Neurospora crassa OR74A: one gene and its partner. The protein of the gene in region 2 interacts with the protein of the main gene of each other region in a pairwise test. Links are inferred from orthologs where the notes say so. Each region holds a gene or a part of one and is shown on either strand. Other genes may lie near its edges.

What was found.
Region 1: the proteins of NCU05803 (region 2) and NCU04051 interact in binary tests that used the Saccharomyces cerevisiae proteins (3 or more experiments, as listed by UniProt). The link is inferred for Neurospora crassa OR74A from reciprocal best matches to the Saccharomyces cerevisiae genes GCN1 and GCN20.

What each region holds. Positions count from the first base shown.
Region 1 is NC_026506.1:2,567,778-2,572,336, reverse strand, and holds NCU04051 (GCN20), read left to right. Parts: upstream 1-1,758; 5' UTR 1,759-1,923; coding exon 1,924-4,173; 3' UTR 4,174-4,336; downstream 4,337-4,559. UniProt on the Saccharomyces cerevisiae protein: Acts as a positive activator of the GCN2 protein kinase activity in response to in response to low amino acid, carbon, or purine availability.
Region 2 is NC_026507.1:3,883,285-3,886,813, reverse strand, and holds part of NCU05803 (translational activator GCN1), read right to left. Parts: coding exon 1-3,529. UniProt on the Saccharomyces cerevisiae protein: Ribosome collision sensor that activates a translation quality control pathway when a ribosome has stalled during translation. Directly binds to the ribosome and acts as a sentinel for colliding ribosomes.

The DNA of each region.
Region 1 (4,559 bases), on a different chromosome or scaffold from region 2:
CGCCAGCCATTTGTGTCAGCCACAGTCTCGTAACCATCTAGCGAGACACTGGGGAGAAACAGGCGGCGAACGATCCCTTGAGTATCGATTTCTCTCCACAAGACTCAGTTGCGCCGTCTCTGCCCTAATCGTGGGCCGTTCCGTTTTGTCCGAGACACACGAAAGTTGGAACAGACCGACAGCTGTTGGAAACATGCATCTACCTGATTCTGATTCTGATTCTGATTCTGCTCCGAAACATACATATGGCGGCGCCCCGTGACGAGTAGAGAGATAGATAGGTAGGAGATAGGCAGGTCCAAGGGCGAAAATGAAATCTTGTTCATTGAAACTGCGCAAGGGTTTGTGATGTTGAACCACAGCAGACATCCAACAACAATTTAGCCTTGGTAAGACCTGAAAAAACAGCACCGCTCGATGGTGCTATCGCCAGGGTAGGTAGGCAGTGTAGTAGTGGGGATTGGGAATGTCCGCTGGTGACTATCACACATTGTAACCGCATTTTACGCGCGGTTTGTTTTATATTTTGGTTGTCGGCAAGGGGGGGTAATCGCTTACTTACCTACTCGCTTCGCTAACAAATTATCACCGTAACGGGACAGGGCAGGTTAGGGTAGGGTAGGTAAGAGCTTAAGAGGTAGGGATTAGCTCGGCGATAGCTGGTAGACACAGCTGGCAGGCTGAATCAGACGATGATGAGTGATGCTGGTCGCCGTCGGTAATTTGTCTTAGAAAATTCGCCCGAGTTGTCTGGAGTTCTAGGTGAAGGAGACAGACGGACAGCCGGACAGACAAAGAAAACGAATAGAGAATAAGAAGAAGAGATGTCCACCCGCGCGCGGGCAAACACACACACGCACACACCATCGAACCTCCGTCGGTTGCGACATCTGATTTGTTGGGTCGAATCAATTCCAATTTACACGCCCAGTAAAATCCCCTGCTTTTGATGGGCGGCGAAGGACATCAATAGTAGGCGACACCAAAGCGGCTTCGGGCATGTGTGTGCTTTTGCATGTTTGTCCTCCGGGCACTGGGCAGTACGATTCGTACTCGTCAGTACCTAGACGTAGGCAGGGCTCTTTTTGCTCCAATTGCTCCTTCGCGCTTAGTTCTTCTTTCTGTGATAGTGACGCTCCACTCAGTGAGCAAGCAGCGGTTAATTGCTGAAGTGGCTTCTTGGATCGCCCCTGTGTTCAAGATGGTGTAATGGTCAAAGGCAGATGTCTTTTCGATTCAGTGGACATTGGTAGCTATGGTAGTGGGCATTGGTTGAATGCACCACTGTCAGCCGTCTGAAACAAACTCGTAAAGTGTCTAATGGCGTGCCATCATTGGCGAAACTTGCGATGCGGCCCTGGGCCGAGGCCTGGTGGTTTCCAGACAAGTGGACGAAACTCATCGGGGCCATTCAGGATCGTACCCTTCCCTTTTGGAAGGTCTACACTGCTTTATTGCGTACTGCCCGTGCACGATGCGTGTTCTAGAAGGCGGGAAGAATATCCCATGCAAGAAAGCTGGTGCCTGCCCGTGCTGATGATGTTAAAAAGGGAAAGGATTCGATGCCACTGGTGGTAAAGTTTCTCGTGATGATGTTGCTCCTTTTGCGGGCGTTAGCGCTGCTGCACTAACAGTAACAGCTAGCTTCCTCGAGTGCAAACAAACCAATCAGAGCTTCTCCCATGAACCCCACCGTCGAGCGGTCAGTTGGCGGCAAATTCCGCCCCGCGCCCAGAAGAGGGACGAGGGCACCCGGGAGGCGGACCGGCGCCGTGAAAGTATCAAAAGTTGAACTCCACTTTGATATCGCACTCCGACAGGCTACCTACAGCTGCGTTTCAAGATCAAAGGAAACGTGACAAAACGACAGTGTTTGTTTTCACCGTAGTTTGATCAGCGAACTGTCAGACCATCATAGCCAAGATGGAGGCCGAAATCAGGACCGTTCTCCCCAACATCGACCCGATCATCTCCGAGTATTCGGCCGGCTATCTCACCCATGCCTCAACGGCCTGGTCCGGCGATGAGGATGCTACCGGCCCGTCTCCACTCGTCGAGGCCGCTTCCGCCATCACCGACCTGCTGATCTCGGCCTCTGGTGGTACTAATGCCGCCCTGCAGGACAAGATCCGTCAGCTGGTCGACAAGTGGGTGGACAGGTATTCTGCTGCCAACGACAGCCAGGAGAAGAGGGGTCCGGCTGTGAAGCGTCTTGACCAGACTATCCAAGTGAGCGCTCAGAGGAACATCTCGTCGACTCTGGCCGTGGCCACGGGCGGTGTTGATCTTGAGTCGGCCAACGCCAGGAAGGTCGAGTCCAAGGTCGACAAGAAGAAGCTGGAGAAGGCCGAGAGGAAGATTGCGGCCAAGCAGAACAAGAAGACCTTCAAGACGGTCGAGTATGAGGCCTCACGTCTGCTCAACCAGGTCGATCCAGCTCAGTCGTACGAGGAGTTCTACATGGCCGTCAACCCTCTGCAGATGAACGGCTCTTCCGGCAAGACCAAGGACATCAAGATCGACAACATCGACGTTACCATCGGTGGTCTCAGAATCCTGACCGACACCACTCTCACTCTCGCCTACGGCCATCGCTATGGTCTCGTCGGTCACAACGGTGTCGGTAAATCTACGCTTCTTAGAGCCCTCTCTCGCAGAGAGGTTCCCATTCCTACGCACATTTCCATTCTTCACGTCGAACAGGAACTCACGGGTGACGACACGCCTGCCATCCAGGCCGTCTTGGACGCCGACGTTTGGCGTAAGGTTCTTCTCAAGGAGCAGGCCGAGATCATCAAGAAGTTGGCCGACATTGAGGCTCAGCGCGTCGGGTTGGCCGACACCTCAGCCGATGCCGCCAAGCTTGATAGGGAGCGTGAGGTTCAGGACAACAAGCTCGGGGAGATCCAGGGCAAGCTTGCCGAAATGGAGTCGGACAAAGCCGAGTCGAGAGCGGCCAGCATTCTTGCCGGTTTGGGTTTCTCGCCAGAACGCCAACAGTTTGCGACCAAGACGTTCTCCGGTGGTTGGCGTATGCGTCTTGCCCTCGCCCGAGCCCTCTTCTGCGAGCCCGATCTCCTGCTGCTCGACGAGCCGTCCAACATGTTGGACGTCCCCTCCATCACGTTCTTATCCAACTATCTCCAAACCTACCCCAGCACCGTGCTCGTCGTCTCTCACGACAGAGCTTTCCTCAACGAGGTTGCCACCGACATCATCCACCAGCATTCCATGCGGCTCGACTACTACCGCGGCGCCAACTTCGACTCCTTCTACGCCACGCGCGAGGAGCGCAAGAAGGTGGCCAAGCGCGAGTACGAGAACCAGATGGCGCAGCGTGCCCACTTGCAAGCCTTCATCGACAAGTTCCGGTACAACGCGGCCAAGTCCTCAGAAGCCCAATCGCGTATCAAGAAGCTCGAGAAGATGCCTGTCCTGGAACCGCCCGAGACCGAGTACAGCGTGCACTTCAAGTTCCCCGAGGTGGAGAAGCTCTCGCCGCCCATTGTGCAAATGTCCGAGGTTACCTTCGGCTACAGCCCCGACAAGATCCTGCTGCGCAACGTCGACCTGGACGTCCAACTCGATTCCCGCATCGGTATCGTGGGCCCCAACGGCGCCGGTAAAACCACCATCCTCAAGTTGCTCGTCGGCAAACTTTCCCCCACTTCGGGCCTCATCACCATGCACCCCCGTCTCCGCATCGGCTTCTTCGCCCAGCACCACGTCGACGCCCTCGACCTCAACGCCTCGGCCGTCTCCTTCATGGCCAAGACGTACCCAGGAAAGACGGACGAGGAATACCGTCGCCAGCTGGGCGCCTTTGGCATCACCGGCACCACAGGTCTGCAGAAGATGGCCTTGTTGTCAGGTGGTCAAAAGTCCCGTGTGGCCTTTGCCTGCTTGGCGCTCACGCAGCCGCACATTTTGGTTCTCGACGAACCGTCCAACCATTTGGATATCGAGGCCATGGATGCGCTCTCGGAAGCGCTGCAGAAGTTTGAGGGTGGTGTGTTGATGGTTTCCCACGATGTCACCATGTTACAGACGGTGTGCAAGAGCTTGTGGGTGTGCGAGAACGGAACAGTGGAGAAGTTCCCTGGTGATGTGCAGGCGTACAAGAAGAGGATTGCGGCGCAGGCGGATGCGGCGGGAGTTGTTAAGAAGCATTAAGATAAGATAGGATGATGGAAAAGTGGTGGTGGTGGTAGTGGTAGTGGTTGGGTGGGAGGTGTGGAAAAAAATGCTGTTAGATTGTACAAAGCGAAAATCTCAAGGTTGATAAAGCGGTCATAAAGTGTTGTAGATTGTGATGCTCTGTTTCTGTGTTTTGTGTGACTAGGGTAGATTTTGTGCTTCACTTATTCTTCTGCTTCGTGCTTTTGCTGTTGTGAAGTAGCCCAAGGTAAGGAATCATACGGCCATCCTCGGGAACTCTGACTGAACAACCATATATGTAATGGTTGGGTCATTTATAGAGAAGTTTGTTTCCCTGGATGAGGTTGGCCCTCCCTAACTGCAAAAGATCATGACTATGCCAAACCTTTTTTTTTTGGGTG
Region 2 (3,529 bases):
GGGCACAAGCTCCTTAAGAATGCGAGGACTGTGGACAAGAGCCTTCCACACGCTGACAGCAGCGGAGCGGACGGCACCCGAGGTATCGCAACGGCAGATGTAGAGCGAGGACAGGACCTTGTTGCGCTTTTCCTCTCCGAGAATCTCACGGAGAGAAGCACCGGCTTCCTTGACAGTCTCGATATCCTCTTCCTCATCTTCACCATCAGTGACCTTGACACCGGTAAGGTTGAACAACAAATCACCAACGAGCTCGACGGAGCTGAGACGGATACGGTAGCTGTCATCAGCAAGACCACGCTCAAGCTCGGGCAGCAAGAGATCGACAGCTCTAACGGCAAAGTTCTTAACCAACAGACGACCAGCACGGAGGGCAGTCTCTCTAATCGACTCGGCATCATCAGCAAGACCAGACAAGATAGGAGGAATGATCTTGGCCAAGTAGTTGGCGAAGCTGTTTCCGAAGCAGACGGGCAAGAAGATGAAGAGCGACATGAAACCCTCGCGAACAGCAGGCTTGGAGGATTCGACGTTCTGCAGGATGGTAGGCAGAGTCTCCTCGAGTCTGGAAGTACCCAGACCAGCGAGGACCTCGGAAAGGGCCTGTGCGGAACCAAGTCTGTCTCCGGCGCCAGTGTCGGACTTGAGGGTCTGCATAAGACCCGGAATGAGGTCCGGCAAAGCATCTTCGCCCAACTTCTCGACCAAAGATCCGAGGGCTCTAGAGGCAGTAGCGCGAGTAGTCGGCACGGGGTCGACGATGGCAATCTTAAGACCGGCAACGAGAACAGGCAAGTGAGCGACAAGATCCTTGCGCTCTGTGAGATGGGCAAGACTGCCAATGACCTGCGCAGCCTTGCGCTTGGTGTTGGAACGATCGCCGAGACCGCGCTGTAGGATACGGCTGACGAGAGCCAGCGAGGGGGCATCAAGGTAATGGACGAACTGAACCTTGATGAGGGCGTCCAAGGCTTCGTCGGTGTACTTGGTAGGGTCACTGAGAGCCTTGAGCAGGATGTCGACAAGGCTGTGAATTTCGGGGTTCTCGATAACCTCGCCGAACCTCTTCAAGCTCTTGTTGGCGGCAAGTCTGACCTCCTTGTGACTGTCGTTCAAGACGGCGGTAAGGGGAGGAATGATCTCCGGCAGACTCTGAGCCAGCTGCTGGGGATCAAGGTAGGCCATGGCACCGAGCAAGTCGCAAGCACCCTTCTTGGATCTCCACTGGTCCTCGTCAAGACCATCGAGAAGGGTAGGGAGAATCTTCTTGACACCGAAAGAGCTGAGCTTGGCAAAGCAAGACTTGGCAGCATGCAACGCGGCTTCACGGACATTCGGGTTGCTATCACCGAAGCCAGCGAGCAGTTGCGGAACGATCTGAATGACGTAGGGTTCAAAGAGTCTGCCGAGGATGGTGGACAGAAGCTCCAGAGCAATCATGGCAGACTCGCGCTGGTTGACCTCCTTCTTGTTCTCGAGGGCACTTCTGAGAGTGATCAAGATGCGGTGCTCCTTAAGCGACTTAACACCACGGCCAAGGATAAGACCAGCAAGACCGTAGGCGGCACCACGCTGGACAGCGTAATCCTTGGAAGTCATCAAAGTCTCAATGACCTGCTCGATATACTTGCTGGACTTGTCTCCGCAGGTGCGGACAAGTGGTGGGAGACATTCGGCGATAGCATACTGGACAGTCTCAGAAGGGGTGCTCAGGGTGGCAATCAACCTGTCAATAACCACAGGGATCTTGGCATCGCCGTGCTTGAGATGGCGGGCCAGCGCACCGTACATAATGATGACAGCCTCGTTGACACGATCCGCGAAAGCAGTGCCCTTGTCGGGAGCCTCAAGGGTCTTCTCGAAAGTCTTCATGAGCTTGTCCAGGATGGACTTGCCGTGAATCTCGATGGCAGTGTTGGCAGCCTCCAACATCTGGGCTCTGACGTTACCGTTCTGGTCACCCAAGGGGCCGTTGTCAATGAGGAAGGCAAAGAAAGGCTCGAGCTGGTTCTTCTGGAGCAATGGTGCAATACCCTGGAAGGCAAGGGCAAGGCCTTGTCTCGCTTCCCAGGGGTCAGAAAGGTCCTTCTTCTTGGGCATGCCAAACTCATCAAGCTCGGGAAGACGAGGTTTGGCGAGCTCAGTGTAGGACTCCCTCAGCTTCTCAAGGATGGGGTTGACGGCAGAGAGGTTTTGCCCGAGTGCCTCAGCAAGGCCCTTGGCAGCGGCACGGCGAAGCTGGCCATCCTTGCTTTCCAAGTAGGGCAGCATCTTGAAGGCAAGTTCCTCGGTGACCTGGAATTCGCTCTCCTCCCAGATATCACGACCAAGGTCAGCGTTCTCCGGGACATCGTCGTGGCAAGCAAGCCAGATCTCTTCCGAGGTGGAGAGCTCGCTCATGTCAACATCAGAACTGATGGCTTGTAGAGCCGCAGTGCGAACGGCGACCTGAGGCACAATGGCACCGCGGGAAAGGACGGCAATCTCCTCAGCAGAAATGTTGGGAGCGATGCAGCGGACCATGTCGGAGAAGCAGTCCTTGATGATCTTGTAGTGCTGGTTGTAGTTCTGCATCGAGGTGATCAACGTGGAAAGAATCTCAGCGCGTGGGGTGGCCTCGTCAGCATAGACATCGGTGTGGAAGGAAAGGAACTCGATGGCCAGGACGAGCGTGGCATCCTTGTCATCGGCATTAGAACCGAAGCCACCCTTCTCGAGGACGAGGAGGATGAGCGGGAGCATGTAGATGAGTGAGATGACATCGAACGGGCGCTGCTCACCGGCGAACCTGAGACGATAGAGAGCACGAGTGATAAGATCGTCAAAAGGTTCCTCGGTAAGGTTCTCAGGCAGCGCGGAAACATTGTGCGCCCTGAGGGTAGCGACACCAATGAAGGGGCGGATAGGGCCAACACGAGACGTGACGCACTCTGAGCAGGAGATGAAAGCCAGAGGACCGGCCTCACCGGTGATGAGAGTTGCACCAGCATCGATGACACTAAGGGTAGCCTTGACCGCGGGACCCATCCAGCGGCTGGCATCAGTGGGAGGACCAGTAGCGAGAGCCTTGACAATGCCAAAGCCACGCAAGAGGTTGGCCGCGACGTGCCTAACGCTCTCGCGGATCTCCGCTTCCTTCTTGAGCTGGGCATTGACTTTGGCGTTTTCTTCCGCTGTAAGCTTCTTTTGCACTCCCTTCTTCTGAGCAATCTGCTCACGAAGCTCCTCCTCCCACTTCAGGGTATGGTAGTTGGGATCATTCTTGTTAGGAACGACGTTCTGTTTCTTGGCCAGCACATCGACGAAGGCGGTTCCTTCAGGCGTACGGAAGATGGCCGCCTCGAGAGGGCCAACGGACTGGACCTCGGAAACCTTGAGGTTTTGTTGAATGAGGTCAACAATGCGAGGAGTCATGGTCTCAGGGGCGACGAAGACAAGCTCAGCAGCAGCATTGTATGCCGCCAGTCTCACCGCCTCGGATTTTTGCTCGTAGAGTGTCCTGTTGACGATCTCATCAAGCAAACGCTGC